4 linked regions of the Arabidopsis thaliana genome follow. The protein of the gene in region 1 interacts with the protein of each later gene in a pairwise test. Each region holds a gene or a part of one and is shown in the gene's direction. Other genes may lie near its edges. The genes, in order: GATA4, NAC041, AGL42 and ERF1.

Evidence for each region.
Region 2: the proteins of GATA4 (region 1) and NAC041 interact in a two-hybrid assay, tested with the Arabidopsis thaliana proteins (one large-scale study listed by BioGRID).
Region 3: the proteins of GATA4 (region 1) and AGL42 interact in a two-hybrid assay, tested with the Arabidopsis thaliana proteins (one large-scale study listed by BioGRID).
Region 4: the proteins of GATA4 (region 1) and ERF1 interact in a two-hybrid assay, tested with the Arabidopsis thaliana proteins (one large-scale study listed by BioGRID).

Annotation. Positions count from the first base shown.
Region 1 is NC_003074.8:22,371,198-22,375,073, forward strand, and holds GATA4 (GATA transcription factor 4), read left to right. Parts: upstream 1-1,815; 5' UTR 1,816-2,150; coding exon 2,151-2,360; intron 2,361-2,437; coding exon 2,438-2,950; 3' UTR 2,951-3,357; downstream 3,358-3,876. UniProt on the Arabidopsis thaliana protein: Transcriptional activator that specifically binds 5'-GATA-3' or 5'-GAT-3' motifs within gene promoters. May be involved in the regulation of some light-responsive genes.
Region 2 is NC_003071.7:14,179,156-14,183,182, forward strand, and holds NAC041 (NAC domain containing protein 41), read left to right. Parts: upstream 1-1,822; 5' UTR 1,823-2,119; coding exon 2,120-2,303; exon of another isoform or gene 2,304-2,367; coding exon of another isoform or gene 2,368-2,380; coding exon 2,381-2,634; intron 2,635-2,723; coding exon 2,724-3,092; 3' UTR 3,093-3,284; downstream 3,285-4,027. UniProt on the Arabidopsis thaliana protein: Transcription activator of the mannan synthase CSLA9. Recognizes and binds to DNA-specific sequence of CSLA9 promoter.
Region 3 is NC_003076.8:24,963,059-24,969,372, forward strand, and holds AGL42 (AGAMOUS-like 42), read left to right. Parts: upstream 1-1,587; 5' UTR 1,588-1,901; exon of another isoform or gene 1,902-1,991; 5' UTR 1,992-2,016; coding exon 2,017-2,198; intron 2,199-3,303; coding exon 3,304-3,385; intron 3,386-3,759; coding exon 3,760-3,821; intron 3,822-4,269; coding exon 4,270-4,369; coding exon of another isoform or gene 4,370-4,405; exon of another isoform or gene 4,406-4,636; coding exon 4,637-4,678; coding exon of another isoform or gene 4,679-4,684; exon of another isoform or gene 4,685-4,782; coding exon 4,783-4,824; intron 4,825-5,256; coding exon 5,257-5,379; 3' UTR 5,380-5,549; downstream 5,550-6,314. UniProt on the Arabidopsis thaliana protein: MADS-box transcription factor that acts with AGL71 and AGL72 in the control of flowering time. Promotes flowering at the shoot apical and axillary meristems. Seems to act through a gibberellin-dependent pathway.
Region 4 is NC_003074.8:8,293,623-8,297,225, forward strand, and holds ERF1 (ethylene response factor 1), read left to right. Parts: upstream 1-1,994; 5' UTR 1,995-2,082; coding exon 2,083-2,739; 3' UTR 2,740-2,982; downstream 2,983-3,603.

The DNA of each region.
Region 1 (3,876 bases):
TGTGCCGTGCGTGTTTGTACATATATGAGTAGTTTCTGTATAGTTGAAAAACTGAATAAATTAATGAAGGAGCAATGCATGAAAGAGACATAAGAAGATAAATGATAGGGAAAAAATATGTATATATAAACCTAAAAAGAGGGCCATAGGAATTTATAGAACCAAAGTGCAATGCACTTCGGATCGTCGGTCGACTCATCTCCTTCATTGTCTCCATCCATTTTCCCATTCCCCACTACATTTTTATAGTTATCTCTTCAATGTTTAAAATAATATGTCAAAACAACTCTTTATCAAAACTAAATTTTCGTTACTTCTGGTAGTAAGGATATTTCTAAACGTTATCACATTAGTTATTAATCAAACCTGTGAAAGACATGCTAGGTTACTGAAGAATGATATTAGATACTTGTGTACACTCTATTCTACAACGATCGAAGCTAGTCCCACTTCTGTGTCTCTTTCTTTTTCTGTAAGTGTGATTGCAAAATGCGAAATATTCATGTAAGCACAAGAAACAAGATAGTTATACATTCGCATCACTTTGTATTAATAAATTGTTGAGCCAATTTTGTTCTCTATTTCCTTGTTTTGGTCATGTTGAAATTCAACTCTATGATTGATTACACATTCCGGAGAATATTATTTTATTTTCTTTGAACAAGAAAACATAAAAAAAAAAAAAAACTCAACGGGATACTAAATGATCCAACTCACAAATTTCAACAAAATTAAGAAAAAAAATCGGAAAACCTTTTTAGGAGATGGCAGAAGAATTTAATTAACAAAAGGGAGAGAGGCTTATTGAAAAAAATAAAATTAGTAACCTTGCATTTATTTAATTTCCCCTTCATTACTTGTTTAAATTAATAAAACTATAGACTATGATCTATAATGAGTTTATTGCAAATAAGGCATTTGTCTTAGATATATATTTTATTTTAGGCACTTTTGAAATGATCTTTAGATTTAGGCACTTCTTTCCTGGGGAAAGTCGTTTTTACCCTTACAGAGAGATGATGTTGTTCTTTCTTTGTTGATGAACTTTTACGTTTTACACTAGAAATCAAAAATACTTGCGACCAACACCAACAACTTTGGAGTCATTGATTACAGAGTGATGTCAGCGACGATTGGAAATTCAGACGACTAACAATCGGTCCTCATGAGATGTGAATGCGATCTAGATTTTTAACATCCCACATTTTGAGATCTGGAAAAAAAAAACAAGAAACAAAAAAGTCCCACGATTTAGTATTACGATTTGCACGTTTTTTTGTTCAGTGATTTTTGTGCAGGTTAAGGAATTCAAGAAGTGATTGATACTTTGTTGATTGCTCAATTGATGTTCATAATCATGTCTACAAGTACATTGATTTTTGTTCATGTTAATGGTGTTTGATGATAATGAGGATGGTTGTAGTGTTGTGTTATTGTGTGTATGTAAGAATTGCATACTCTATATTTGACGGTTTGGGTTTACAAGTCTAATTCTAGGGTATAGCGTTTACCATTGACGCCGTTCGTTACCCCTCGTTGTCAAAGCCGTGAACCACCACCAAATCTTTGTGCTATCGTCAAAGCTTCATGCCTACCGTCGAAGCTGCAAGTCCACTATCTAAGCCATATATCTTTGGATGTCAAAAGAAACTTAAAATTGAATCAGAGATGGGGATACAATTTTTAGAAGATAAACACATTCTTTTCACCTCATTCTCAACTCCAGTTCATAGTTTAAGGGCAAAAATGTCCGTAACAATAAAAATTGAAGTATTATATGCTTTTACTGTTTAGAGTGTCTGTTTTGAAAGAAATGTTTTCAAAATGCTTGTTTAGAATATAAGCTCGATCTATAATATATGCGTTTTTAAAAAAAGACTAGTATATGCATTATGTAATTCATGGTTAATTAATCCTCTGGTAAGTAAATTAAATAGCACATGCATGTTCAAAGAAAAATGTAGACAAATATATTAAAGTGGATAAATAAATAGAAAAAAAGGGAGTGGTCAGGTCAGTCTCGGTGCATGCTAACTCTATGCACGTTCTCATCTTCGTCTCTTTCCTCACTTACACTAATTCTCTCTCTCTATATTAAACCTCTGAACCAGTGACCACATACATACTCAGTAAGCGAGTCCGAGTCAACAATGGACGTCTACGGCATGTCTTCACCGGACTTGCTTCGTATCGACGACCTTCTCGATTTCTCCAACGACGAAATCTTCTCTTCCTCTTCCACCGTCACTTCCTCCGCCGCTTCCTCCGCCGCTTCTTCCGAAAACCCTTTCAGCTTTCCTTCTTCCACCTACACTTCTCCTACTCTCCTCACCGACTTCACTCACGATCTCTGCGTTCCCGTACGTTTTCAAATTTCAATTTACCCTAATTTTGATTTTGATTTTGAATTTCTAAGTTCTGATTTTGAGTTTTGCAGAGTGACGACGCAGCTCATCTCGAATGGTTATCGCGATTCGTTGACGATTCATTCTCCGATTTCCCAGCAAATCCTTTAACCATGACCGTTAGACCCGAGATTTCATTCACCGGAAAACCTAGAAGTCGCCGATCAAGAGCACCAGCACCTTCCGTAGCTGGAACTTGGGCTCCGATGTCTGAATCAGAGCTTTGTCACTCCGTCGCTAAACCTAAACCGAAGAAAGTCTACAACGCTGAATCGGTTACGGCGGATGGAGCGAGGCGGTGCACGCACTGTGCCTCGGAGAAAACGCCACAGTGGAGAACTGGACCGCTTGGACCTAAAACACTTTGTAACGCTTGTGGAGTTCGTTACAAATCAGGGAGGCTTGTACCGGAATACAGACCGGCGTCGAGTCCGACGTTTGTATTGACTCAGCATTCGAACTCTCATCGGAAAGTTATGGAGCTCCGGCGACAGAAGGAACAACAAGAATCTTGCGTTCGAATTCCGCCGTTTCAGCCGCAGTAAATTTGGGGGTTTTCTTTTCAAGGGTTTTTGTGATTTGGTGACGTGTCGTAATCTTAACGGTGATGATCACGTGACCGACGGGAGGGGTTAAGGACTTAATTATCAGTATTAGTTTAAAGTTTGCAAATCTCTGCTAATTAATTTGTTGGTAATTTCTATTGATTTTTTTCTTGCTTTTGTTTATTGGTCTCACGGCTCTCCTTAAAGTTATATCATTAAATGATTTCATTGGCGGCATTTAATTTTCCTCTTTTCAGATATAAAAGCTTCTCAACCACCATGGACTCTGCTTTTTGTGACTTATGATGTTATATCACACATGACAATGCTGGTTAATCTTCATACATACATCATACATGTTACATGCTTGAGAATTTGAGTTTTTGGCATTTCACGAGGCAATTCAGTTTACTACTTTCTTAAAAAATAGTAACCTAAGCCATACCAAACCTAACTCTCTCTGGTTTAGGCTATTCAAATCTAACAATTTTTCGCTTTATTCCATCTGAACCAAAAATTACCAATACTCTTATACAAAGTGCTTAAACCTCTTATAAATAAACTAAACTGGTTAGGCGGTAACACCGAAACAGAACAAACAAATGATCTGAAAATTGAACCATAATGTGGTGTATAGTGTCACCGTTATTCAAATCCAGAACCCCGACAGACCGAATCCTAATAGAAACCAAAGCAAGGTCTTAACATTAAGATATCGAACCAGAAATACCATACAAAACTAATCTAATTTGGTTAATTTTCCGCTTAAACTATCAACTAAACCAAGCCAAGAAAAAAGAGGATCAAATATATGTATAAAGAAAGACAAAAATTCAAATATCAAGAAACTGCAAAAATGTTGAGGTCAATTGAGACTACTCAAGAAAACAACAACAAAACTCAAAACATGAATGAAACTACTATAC
Region 2 (4,027 bases), on another chromosome or scaffold:
ACTTTCTCTACAACCCAATTATTGACCGCAACTAAAAATAATATTATGTTGAGACATACAACAAGAACATATGGAAGAGAAAAAAAAAAAAAAAAAAAGTCGATATGGATTTCGTTGACGACAAATCCACATTGTATTATTTGGACAAGAGACATGACCTTTACCTTCTCCTCACGCAACCGGCATTTGTTGAAGTCTCCCATTGTCCCTCCTTTGGGCCCTACCTTTAATGCCAAACTAACCCATTGTATTTGGTATTCTACATAAAAGTTGTACACTAATGTACGATACGATTCAACTACATTAACCGTATGTTAAATTATATAGTATTCACTTGTTGATAAATAAATTATGTTTGAACACAACAAAACTTAGTTTCTATATCCGCTGCTGTTTTGTTATAGTCGTCATTCGTACGAGTAATTCTTTATGTTCCGCACTAATCACGCTTCTTTTGTACCACTTAGTATGTGATTTTCTCATTCGTGGTCTTTGAATTGTATTAGAGGCAATTTAGTCTTTTGTGAGATTAGGAGGTGTGTACGGAAAAGTGTGTGAGACAAATGAAGTTAATGTGGAGGAGATCTATAGTGGGACAAAGCAATTGAAAGTCGCTTTAGAAGCAACTAAATGCCCTCTTGACTTCTCCATTCTCCTTGCGATTTACGCATTTACCTAATTGCATCTTTTACTTGTTTAGCTTGTTAAGTTCTTCTACAACATTACCACTTTTGCTCTCTTAAGTTATTGCAACTTGACAATTTGTTATACCCTTTATCAAAAAAAATACCTGGCAACTTGTTTGAGCTCCTGAATTAATCACATCTCTTAAAAGACGTTTTGCGAGTATAACATGAGCTTTTCTTTTTATAGATTCATTCACCAATCAAATATAAAAACTATAACACAATTAAAATGCCATGTAGCTAGGTATATTAGCAAGTCGTAGAACAGAAATGGAAAGACTTGATGAAAGCACGTCAATTCAATTTCATCTCCTATAAATAAATTGTTGTAGGAAGCCAACCGTTTTGGAATTTCTTTTCTTTCGTTTTACGTAAGACTATATAGATTCAATAACGTGTTGGTTTAGAAACCCATACTTATAATGGTTGACAAAAAGAAGAAAGAAAAAAATATAAACATATACGCTAAAAGTGTTTACCAAATAACAGGGTTATGTAATTTATTATCTGGATTAGGAAAAGATGATTGGACCATGCGATGGAGTAGAGGAATCTGCAGGGCATTTGTCACTTTCATGGACCCCATGAAATCACATCTCTTTTAATTGAATAATCGAAATCCAGTTGCATACGCATCTTTGTCTACGATTGGTCGTAGCACATATACGACATATGCCATAACTACAAACTAACTTAATCTTCTAATAATATTGTTAACGATCGTTAATACTAAAAATTACTAATATATTAGTCGTGTTATCTATGTGTTATGAGGTGTGTTAATTGTTGATGCATAATGAATGAACATGATCTCTAATTTGTTTACCTCACACTATGTGATTCAAGGGTGGAAGTCGTTGGTTAGCAAACATTAGTGTCTCAGGACAAGATAGCTCAGGACAAGATGTCCGAGCGGTTCAGAATCAGTAATGTTTTTTTCCGGAGACTCTACTCGTTGAGTTTTTGCTTGTACTCCCTGGTGTTTGTGTTGTGATGTAGTTTTGTTGTTTTACTTAGTTTTTGATCTTTTATGTAATTTGTATTTCGCTGTAACTTCGGTAAAAAACTTGTGAAAATAGTATAAGTACTTAACATTGATACAAAAAAAAAAAAAAAAAAAAAACTCATGAGGTCTTGTTATATATATGGTGATCACATCTTTAAAGAAAATGTTATAGTATTTGTTTTAGTTTAAACAATTTTTTATGTGCCAAAAACATTATTAAAAAGAGAGCAATACCCTACTCTAAAATAGTAAAGCTACCAAATTCAATTCATTACGACATGGCTCAAAAGAAAAAGTATTTCGAATATTATACGATATCAACCCCATTATCATTGCTATAAAATAAGCCAAACTTTACCTCTCCATTTTCAATAATCTCTCATCTTCTTTCGTCTCTCTTTCTACGGTTCAAACATTAAAAAGATAGATGGAGAAGAGGAGCTCTATTAAAAACAGAGGAGTACTTAGATTACCACCAGGGTTCCGATTTCACCCGACCGATGAAGAGCTAGTGGTTCAATATTTACGTCGAAAAGTAACCGGTTTACCCTTACCAGCTTCTGTAATACCGGAAACCGATGTTTGTAAATCCGATCCATGGGATTTACCAGGTACAGAAATTGAAAAATCTACTCTAGGGTTTCATTCAAATTCAATATTTGATGGTGTATATGCATGATGATCACAGGTGATTGTGAATCAGAGATGTATTTTTTTAGCACGAGGGAAGCTAAATACCCGAACGGAAACCGGTCGAACCGGTCTACCGGTTCGGGTTATTGGAAAGCGACTGGTCTCGATAAGCAGATCGGTAAGAAGAAGCTTGTCGTGGGGATGAAGAAAACTCTTGTTTTCTACAAAGGTAAACCACCAAACGGAACAAGAACTAACTGGGTTCTTCATGAATATCGTCTTGTTGATTCACAACAAGATTCATTATATGTAAGAGAATCAAATTCAAATAAATTAGATTCATCAATCAGTTGGATAAAAACTTGGCTAAAAAGTGTATTTTAATGTGTTTTTAAAAGGGACAGAACATGAATTGGGTTTTGTGTAGAGTGTTCTTGAAGAAGAGAAGCAATAGTAATAGTAAGAGGAAAGAAGATGAGAAAGAAGAGGTGGAGAATGAGAAAGAGACAGAGACAGAGAGAGAACGTGAGGAGGAGAACAAGAAGAGTACTTGTCCCATATTTTATGACTTTATGAGAAAAGACACGAAGAAAAAGAGAAGGAGAAGAAGATGCTGTGATTTGAATTTGACTCCTGCTACTTGTTGTTGTTGCTCTTCTTCGACTTCTTCGTCGTCTGTTTGCTCAAGTGCTTTAACTCACACATCTTCTAATGATAATCGTCAAGAAATCAGTTATCGGGAAAATAAGTTTTGTTTGTTTCTATAGATTAACAAACTTGGGAACAACTTCTATTAACTTTAATAAATTAGATTATGATTGTTTCCAAAGTTAATTATGCAATCCAGGAGTCTTTCTTGGTTTTGGTAATTAATAGCCATATTTTATAGCTTATCTAATTGTATCAAATATTGAAAACTGGTTGATCAAATATCTAATTTGTTAATGAGTGTCAATTAACAACAAGGACCAACCATCTAGCTAACAATTCAAGCAATCAAATCAGAGACTAACACTACATTAAAGATCACTCTTACAAAAAAAAAATGTGGAACATTTTTTTATAGAAAAAATCATATACCCAAACAACACAAATTCATTTATTTTGATATCTGAAAAAGCATTATATGTTAAAAATAGAAAATGCATAATGATTATTTCTTTCAATTGTTGGGTTGTTTCTAAGTTTTTGGACAACACTTTTTTACCCATACTGTAAAAGATCACAACATTGATAAGAAAACTCTCATGTCTGGTTGAAATAAATTAGTAAAAGGTTAGAATAAATTGGTTTAAAGGTAAATTAATATTTTAGTTTTGGCACAAATTAACAAATCAATTAATTTTTGTTTATTTTTAACTAAAACATCATTGATTATCTATCTATATCCGATTCAACCAATATAAAATAATTTATCAAATATAAATCACCCAAAATCAATAATAAACTAGATAATTTTGCAATGGAAGTCGAAAACATCATCTCATTTAAAATTCCAAAAAATCAAATAAAGGAATATTAATATAACATAGACAATTTAGTATGATTTTGGTTTTAGTTAAACATATCTTTGATCTTCAAATTTTTTTTATTTTTTTTTCGGTTTGATTGAAACTTACTTTTATAGTTTGATTTTCAGATTGATTAAGAATGAATCGGTTTGATAAAACTCTAATGTAAATGGAGTAATTATTGTAATATT
Region 3 (6,314 bases), on another chromosome or scaffold:
TGAATCTCTCCGATTTGCAGTATTTCGCTTCGGGAGTCAGAAAGCAGAGGTTGAAGGCAAACGCCGCTAACGTAAACCTTCTCTTTCAGGTGGAATCTCTATTAAAAGGCTTTTGGGCCTTATTTATAGTCTTGTATCTCAATAGGCCTTTGGAGTTTGGGCTTAATTATCTAAATCGGCCTTTGGACTTATCCAAAATATTTTATTCAACTGCTTGAACGTCTCCCTTACATATCGACCATTTCATTTTTTAAAAAGATCCAACATTTGGTGAGGAAATCCAAAAATCGAATATCCAATCAGTATTAAACTAAGACTTATTGCCCAAATTGTATACTAATTCAGTTGGAACGGTAATCGAACAAGTGAAACGAATCAGTGCGAGACACGTGACAAAGCACTGACATAGTACGATGATGTCGATGCCAATTTTCAACACTGTTTTCTTTTTGGCGTGGGCCTTTTCGATACTGTTTCATCTCCTCTCGTTTTCTCCTAAGATTAAAAATAATAGAAAGAGGACAATGTATTATTATTCTCTTAACTCATAGACATAATGACACGTAGTAGGTTCTCTAGTTCCTATCTTTTGATTTCTGTTAACGACTATGTTCATTAGGAGCTACTAGTCACAATGCCTTCAATTAATTTTAACAACATATTTTAGCTACGAGCTTGTCGAGAAATCAGTTTGTTAATACTATTAAAAAAATAGTATTCACGAAAATTTTGAAATTCTCTACTAAATTTTTATTAAATCACAAAACTTTTAAAATTGACCCCATTTAAATTGACTCCCACTAATCCTATAATTAAGTGTTATGTTCTCTAGTAATGACGACATCGTTAGAAATTCAAACACTAATAAATGATTTTATTAATATTGCTCAAAGCCTCAAAGTCGTCCATCGATCTTCTCTCCCCCAAAATTTCCTATTTTAGCGGAGACTTTCCAAAATCCCTTGTTCTTTCTTTCCTCGTTAAGTTTGCCAAAATAGGGTAAAGAATATGTTTATCTCGTAGACCAAATGGATCTTCCTAATGCTTAATAGCTTTTTTATATATATATTTTAAGTTATATTTCGTACGGCTATTATTTTAATGCAACATTTGAACCTGCCACGATTGTCTTTTTTCTCAATTATATAAATAAAGGTTGAAATACTATAATTGGTGCACAGCTACAATAATTATGATATTTACTTCCGTAACGTGAAGGAGAAATATCTAATAAATTACATTTTTATATAAAAACTGTACTAACTTACTTAAAATGAGAGTGAAAATACTAAATCGTATGAATATTACAGTAGTATTTAATTACCATTTTATTGAAATTTGATATATATATATATATATATATAACCATATATTGGTATATACACACATTTTTGTTGACAAATAAATCAATTCTTATAACCAAGTTTGGTTGTTTTCCAGATAAATAAAATAAAAACAAGAATTATCCTGTTTCTTGTTTTGGCATCTAATTATCCTTTTGTATGTGGGGAGGAGAAGATATGGACACAAATTTAAAATACTCTATACATAATTTTTATTATTATCAAGAACAGAAATGAAAATAAGAATGGCATCATTTTATTGTGACCCATAAAACAAAAAAGAAAAGTGATAAAACATAAAAAAAAACTTTCTATAAAAAAAAAAAACATTAAGAAACTTGCCCCTTCCTTCTCTCACAGATCATTCTAGGGCTCCTGACAGAAAAACCAAATACCTTTTCCTCTTTCCATTTTTGTAGAATTTCAAATCTTTCTTTCCTCAATCTTTCACAATGATCTTTTCCTGTGAAGTTCTTGATTTTAAATCACCCTTTCTTCACTACTAGCTTATCTCTTCTTCAATTTTCTCTACCGACATTCAATTACTCTCCCTATTCGGTGAGATCTCTCTCTCTCTTTTATGACTTTGGTTATGATGACTGGTCACTGGCTTGTTTAGGGTTTCAATCTTTACAGATCTTGTGGCAGAAAAAATCAAGTCAAAGCAAGAAAAATGGTTAGAGGAAAGATAGAGATGAAGAAAATAGAAAACGCAACGAGTAGACAAGTGACTTTCTCAAAAAGAAGAAATGGTTTGTTGAAGAAAGCTTATGAGCTCTCAGTACTCTGCGATGCTCAACTCTCTCTCATCATCTTCTCCCAGAGAGGAAGGCTTTATGAATTCTCTAGCTCTGAGTATGTTTTCTTCAATTTCTTCTTGATTCTTTTAATTCATCTTCTTTTACTTTTCCGATCGTACTTTTTTTGGGGGGTTAATTAGGCTTTTAGGTCATGTGTTTGTGTCTGTTCTGATTTATTTTCTGAATCGTTATTGACTAAAGCAACCTTCTCAGATTTTGGTACTTGAGAGATTCGATCCTTGTCTGAATCCTAAAGATTTCTTTCTTCTCTTCCCCTATCAGTCTAATTTCATTTTTCTATTTTTATAATAGTCATTTGGTTAGAAATCTAGACAAACTCCTTTTTTCTGATCTACCAAAACTTTACATCCAAACTAAATTGTGTGCGTATATATTGATATATGTGTGTGTATGTTTCTAGGGTTTCCAAATTCTTGAAAGTATATATGAACAGAAAACAACATCGGAAGTAGATCTAAATGGGATTTATTCTATAATTTGATGATTATTTATTGTGATCCGTACCAAGTTGCACATATTTTTACCCATTTCTTTGGTGATAATATAAAATAAGTTTACTTTTTCTTGCCCCTAGTTAATTAGGTTGTGTACTATCGTTTTTGGTTTTCGTTATGTCTTTATTTGGGCTCTACTTTTGCAGCCATGTAGTAATAATGCTTGCTCTTCCTCGTTTGATTCAGGTGTCCAGTGCATACATAGTTCCCTATATATATATATGTTTAACACATTCACATCCTTAAGTTTTTGCTATAATCAATGTTAGAACCAAGTAGCTAAAGTTGTGATTTGTTATTCTCTATAGTAATATATATTGTTGATTAGAGGTTTCCTAATGGGTTAATGGATCTAGATTCAATTATTTGATGTGAGAAAAAAAAGAGTTCAATAAATGGACAAAAAAGGGCCCGGTGAATCATAGGGCATGGATTTGAATAGTTACCTAGCTATAGAGATATTAACCAACAGCAAAGAAGATATTGTAGTACAATCTAAGAATCATACTACAGTCAAACAAAATTTTCATATCTCGTTGCGATAAGATGTTATTTCAAATATAGTAGAGCTATAGATAAAACAAATACGAAGATAAGTACGTTAGTTCATATTTCTGAAAATATATGTCTATTTTTGATCATCAGTATGCAGAAGACGATCGAACGCTACCGCAAGTACACAAAAGATCATGAAACCAGCAATCACGACTCACAAATTCACTTGCAGGTTTGTTAGCAAACTCTTTTTTTTTCACTTGATGACTTTCACGGTTTTATCCTTGGTAAAAATAATCAAACTTAAACTTTACATGATTTCCATGCTATTGATATTAGACTGTGGGCTTCCAACTTAAAACCAATTGGCAATAGGTGGAGAGACCCATATCTTATATATACCACTTAAGATCCTACTCAACTTCCGATGTGGGACATTGTCCCTAATAATTGATTCTTTGACTTTCAATGGCCAACAAAACCAAATCTTATGAGATCAATTACTACATCACAAAACAACTGATGGATCGATGGTCACAAAGATTACATACTGATCTGTTTTACTTCTTTTGCATCCTATGATTTTATTTTGTGGGCGTATTGTAGCAATTGAAACAAGAAGCAAGCCACATGATAACAAAGATTGAACTCCTTGAGTTTCACAAGCGGTATAATGTCTTAGACTTTTTGTTTCTTTTTCTTTTCGTTGCTACTTCTCTTAGATCACAATCTTGATTATTATTCCTTTAATTTCATTTACGGTATTTTGTTTCGTTTTATATATAAAACCATATAAGCTTAGACTTTTTAACCAAACTTTCTTTATTAATTGTAGATCCATATCCTTAAGACTTCATTAACCATTTTTTATTTATTTCAATACTATAATTTTTAACCTTTTTGTTAGTATTTCAAGAATTTTTTTTATAAAATTTGAAACCTTTAGTCGTTTAGATTTAAAAGTCCTTTTAGTTGTTTCCGTATGTAAAGGTACGCATGTAATCAAAGACCATACTATAGTAATATCATTAATGTATTTGTTAGTGATCTCAAATAGGAGAACTACTTTGGAGATTTACAAAATTTGTTCATGAACCCTCCTCTGCGTGTGTATAGGAAGCTATTGGGACAAGGAATTGCTTCTTGTTCTCTAGAAGAGCTTCAAGAAATCGATAGTCAACTCCAAAGAAGTCTGGGAAAGGTCCGAGAAAGAAAGGTACATATACTTCATCACTATCTAATTGGTATATGATGATGATCTAATGTAACTATACAACACATATTGACTTGAATAATCTCCATCTCAGTCATCAAGTTATAGTCCTCATTTAGATATGAACTTGAACACAGATCTTTGCAACCATTTAGCGTCATATCTCAACCAATATACTAACATTGATCAAGAGTCAAGTCACATGTGTGTTTGTATATTAGTGTTGTTATCATGGAAATGAAAAAAAAAGTTGGACAAAATGTTTTATAGGCTCAATTGTTCAAGGAGCAGTTGGAGAAACTAAAAGCAAAGGTTTGATACATTATGTTATAATATAAGATATGTATATCATACATGCAATTTTTTAACTAGCTTTTTTATATGAAATTGGTGAAAGAGTGTCGGTTGTGTTTCAGGAGAAACAATTGTTAGAAGAGAACGTCAAGTTACATCAAAAGGTGACCCATCTCTCTTTACAATTCACATATTTAGAATTGTATATACCAATACTAATTCAACTGAAATTTACATATATATCATATATGTTATGAATTGCTAATGCTTTAGTATGCTGAAAATATTACCCAAAGAACTCTGATTGTTTTTCGTCGGTTGATTTTTTACATTTTTAGATTTTTTTTCTCCGGCAAAATCATTGTTAGAGATTATACGGTGCTATTCGGTAAAATTTGGTTCTCGTTCCAAGTTTTTTTTTTTTGATAAAGTATTTGATTAGTTTTAAGGATTTCAAAATTTAAGTTTGAGTTTGACTTTTTCAGTTGGTTTTGTTTACAACTTTTGGATATCATTTTTAACATTTTCTCCTAGAGATAAAATTATAAAATGATATGTTTTATGGTTGATGAAATTGCAATCTATGTCATGGACAGAATGTTATTAATCCATGGAGAGGATCATCGACTGATCAGCAGCAAGAGAAATACAAAGTTATAGATTTGAATTTGGAAGTTGAAACTGACTTATTCATCGGTTTGCCAAATAGAAACTGCTAGTAACATTATATAATATGTTTATTTATTTATCATGAAATATTCAAAATCATTCAATAAATTGTGAGGTAATGATTTGGGATAGTATTTTCTGAGTTGTTATAATTCTAGTCCTTATACAATTAAAGAGATATATATATACAGTATATTCAAAATCCTTCAACTAATTGTGGGGTATGATGTTCTTACACTATTCACACTGTATTTGGAAGCTCATGTTAAGAAACATTCTTGGGTTCATACTTGGAATGTCCAGTCATCATCCAAAATCTAAAACAAATCTTCGGCCTAAGTTATGGGCTCCAATCGGCCCAATAAGGATCCAATGGATTATATTAATATACAGCCAACTACCCACCCATGGCCCACCAGTCTTTGTTGCAGTTTACTCGTTTGCAAGTACTGTATATTATAATCAGATACACAGAAGTTAGATACTACTAATTACTTGATAGGATAATATTAATACTCTAGTGTATAGGAGATAAATGCATCAGCTCACGGTTAGCTGCTTAATTCTGCTGTATTTGAATTTTGAAATTCACTAACCTCGACCGTTGCTTTTGTAATAATAATCTATTCATTAGATAATTGTAATAATTGAGTATGGAGAACATATACATTATCAACATGTAACCAGGAGTTTTAGAGAAAATAATCTTTTTTTTCTTCTCAGTAGCGGTAAATTTACCTTCAAGACAAAATATTTATCGATTGTAAAATTATATATTAATCAACTCATCAAGTTATACTTCCAGTTGATGAAATTACTTGTATATTATATATCGAAATATTCAATACATTTACATTCTCGTACACGTACATAGATTAGAGGAGCCATGCATATGGCTGATTCGTTTTATAGTCTTTCTAAGACTTTACATAGTATGCTTTTTAACTTTTACACTTTTTCCTGATTTTCTGTAAGTCCCTTTTGG
Region 4 (3,603 bases), about 14 Mb from region 1:
TTTTCTGATGTCAATATTGAAATCAATTAATTTATTCATTTTCGGTACGTGTAAGAAGTTTAAAGTATTTTACCACAAAAAAATGAAGTTTAAAGTAAAGCCAAAAGAGATACAATGTCCAGGTTTGAAGTTTAAAATAGAGCCAAAAACTTTGAACACGTGCGGGATATCAAATAATCAGTTATGCATAGTTTTGGATGGGCTTAAGAAAGAATAAATAATTTTGTGTCCTACTGGACTCAGGATGCATGTGATGATGTGTAGTGTTCTAATAGAATTTAGTTGCGTATCCGTTCGAATAATTATTTTCAACACCTCCTACTTTTGTTACATTGTTTTAAATGACTATTGACAAAATAAAAGTAAATGTAAATAACTAAAACAGAAAAGATGTGAGAAAAACTAGGAAATTCTTTTTTTTGAAGAATTATTAAATTTGCTAGATTTGGATAATCGATTCAACATTTGGAAAAGAAAAAAAATATCTAAGGATGGTTGAAAGATAGTTTATGATCAAACTAGCCAGGATTTTAGAGGGGTCATCAGTTTTCTGAACATTTATATGTTGTTTTCCGATAATACTATAAATTTGATCAACTAATTAGATGACTTAAAATAATGTAATTGGGATAATGTTTAAGAAAATATTAGGTAACTCATATAATTTAAGAGTTATAATTTGGTTATAATTTGCACCAAATTTGAAATATATTTCTACTATAAGATAACTAGAAATAGTGAAGAAAAAAACAAAGGAAACTAGAAAAAATGAAAAAATGGCACATGAAGTATCTTTTTTGTTTGAGAAAGAAGTTGAAAGCAGATAAAGCCAAATTATCTTCTAAACATGAGATGGCTCGAAATTATTTGTTGTTTGGGATTCAAGGGGGCATGTATCTTGAATCCTTCCAACCAACAATTTTCTTTAACCATGCTTTTGGCCAAAAGATTTTCTTTAATAATAATTAATAATAGCTTCCTAAGATTATAGGATAATGATTTGATATTTTATGTAATCATATTTGCAATACCTAAGCATGAAAATGTTTTGTTGAGTTGATCCAGCAGTTATTTTGGAATATGGCTTAATCATTTTCACATCGATCTTGTTATTTCTGTTCGTGAAATGTGAACTTTCGCAGTTATTTGTTTTATTCATAAGTTGTTTTAGATCAAATAAGTGGAGTCCACTTAGAAATTATAAGATGGGAATTTTATTTGCATATCAAAATTATCTATAAAAATTTTAGTCAACTGATTTTTAGTTTTCTACTAAAATCGCCATCTTATTTTCTTCTAGATTCAATTTGATCTGAATGTGGCATGTAGGTTGATAAAACTTATCAAATAGCATCAAATCAGTATTTTCTAAAACTTTTTACATCATCATAAATCTTTCACTTATAAAATATAATATCTTGGGTACACCAAAGTAATCCTGATATATACTACAAAATATAACATTTTAGTTGTTTTCATATGTGGTTAATCTTTTTTAGGTCGTACATGATTCATAAACCTTACCGTCATAAAAAGAAAAATAAATTATATTTAAACTAAGAAATGTGATATGATGCAAAAGTGACAAAATTTCGATGAATCATGTGATGATAATACGAAATGATATACCTAACCTACACTGCTCATTCTACATTTGAAGAATATATACCTAAATATACATACCAATTCTGGGATAATTACATAATATACAGTTTCATATTAGTCTCACGTAATTACGATTCACGACAGTAAGAAGATTAGTTTAAACGGTACAAAACAATTCATATATTACGAAAACATTAAATATCACACGAAGAGAAGAAATATGCAAAACGTCTTTGCTCGAATCTTCGACGAAGCAACATAGTTTTTCATTTGAGTGTAACATTATTTTTCGTAAATTCCCATTTCACCCTTTTATTACATGACATTTGTCTTTCACTGAGACAGTAAAAACTCAAGTCTAATTTGGACATTTGCATATACATACTCATTTTTTTCTCTATATATATAGACCATGTCAATCCACTAACGATCCCTAACCGAAAACAGAGTAGTCAAGAAACAGAGTATTTTTTCTACATGGATCCATTTTTAATTCAGTCCCCATTCTCCGGCTTCTCACCGGAATATTCTATCGGATCTTCTCCAGATTCTTTCTCATCCTCTTCTTCTAACAATTACTCTCTTCCCTTCAACGAGAACGACTCAGAGGAAATGTTTCTCTACGGTCTAATCGAGCAGTCCACGCAACAAACCTATATTGACTCGGATAGTCAAGACCTTCCGATCAAATCCGTAAGCTCAAGAAAGTCAGAGAAGTCTTACAGAGGCGTAAGACGACGGCCATGGGGGAAATTCGCGGCGGAGATAAGAGATTCGACTAGAAACGGTATTAGGGTTTGGCTCGGGACGTTCGAAAGCGCGGAAGAGGCGGCTTTAGCCTACGATCAAGCTGCTTTCTCGATGAGAGGGTCCTCGGCGATTCTCAATTTTTCGGCGGAGAGAGTTCAAGAGTCGCTTTCGGAGATTAAATATACCTACGAGGATGGTTGTTCTCCGGTTGTGGCGTTGAAGAGGAAACACTCGATGAGACGGAGAATGACCAATAAGAAGACGAAAGATAGTGACTTTGATCACCGCTCCGTGAAGTTAGATAATGTAGTTGTCTTTGAGGATTTGGGAGAACAGTACCTTGAGGAGCTTTTGGGGTCTTCTGAAAATAGTGGGACTTGGTGAAAGATTAGGATTTGTATTAGGGACCTTAAGTTTGAAGTGGTTGATTAATTTTAACCCTAATATGTTTTTTGTTTGCTTAAATATTTGATTCTATTGAGAAACATCGAAAACAGTTTGTATGTATTTTTGTGATACTTGACTTTATCAATTTCAAGTTAGTGTAAAAGTCTTTGTCTCTTACTATTCAACTAGTAAGAAAACTCTCATTTTTCTTATTTATCGTAATGAGGATTGTCTTTAAGCATGTGCTATTAGAGTATTCAAACATGTTTTAAGTTAACATAATAATTTTTTTGCACAAAGCCTACAAATAGTGTAAGATGGTCATAATCAATTGCTCATAACAATATACAAAGACAGTTCTTTTTATTGTTCTGTAATATATGAGTCCATGAGTATTGAGGAGCGACTCTATATAGTAGTATAATTTATTTTTGTTAATCATTAATTAGGAGCCACCTAAATGGCTAACTATAATAATGGAGTATAAGTTAAAGTGTTTTAATTTTGTTTCAAATAGACCACAACTGAAAAAGATGGTCAGGTAGTGTAATGAAAATCTTGACTTCTTTCGGATTAGGTGGCAACTTCTAGAATTTTTGTGCTATTTTACATATATTTTTAATTCATGATTTAAAGTAGCTATGGATTTTCTTGTGACTTTCTAAGGGAATTATCTAAGAATAATTGAATAAAAAAGATTTAAATATGCAGAAACTTGAACTTTTTTTTTGCAATGAGATGCATCTGTAACTAGAACTTTTGTCCGATAAAACGTTTTAGGTAAAAAAAGTAGTCACATAATCACATTATTGTTTTGGTAGTTGAGGTCACCAGAACGATCTGTCATAACTTTTGGGTTTG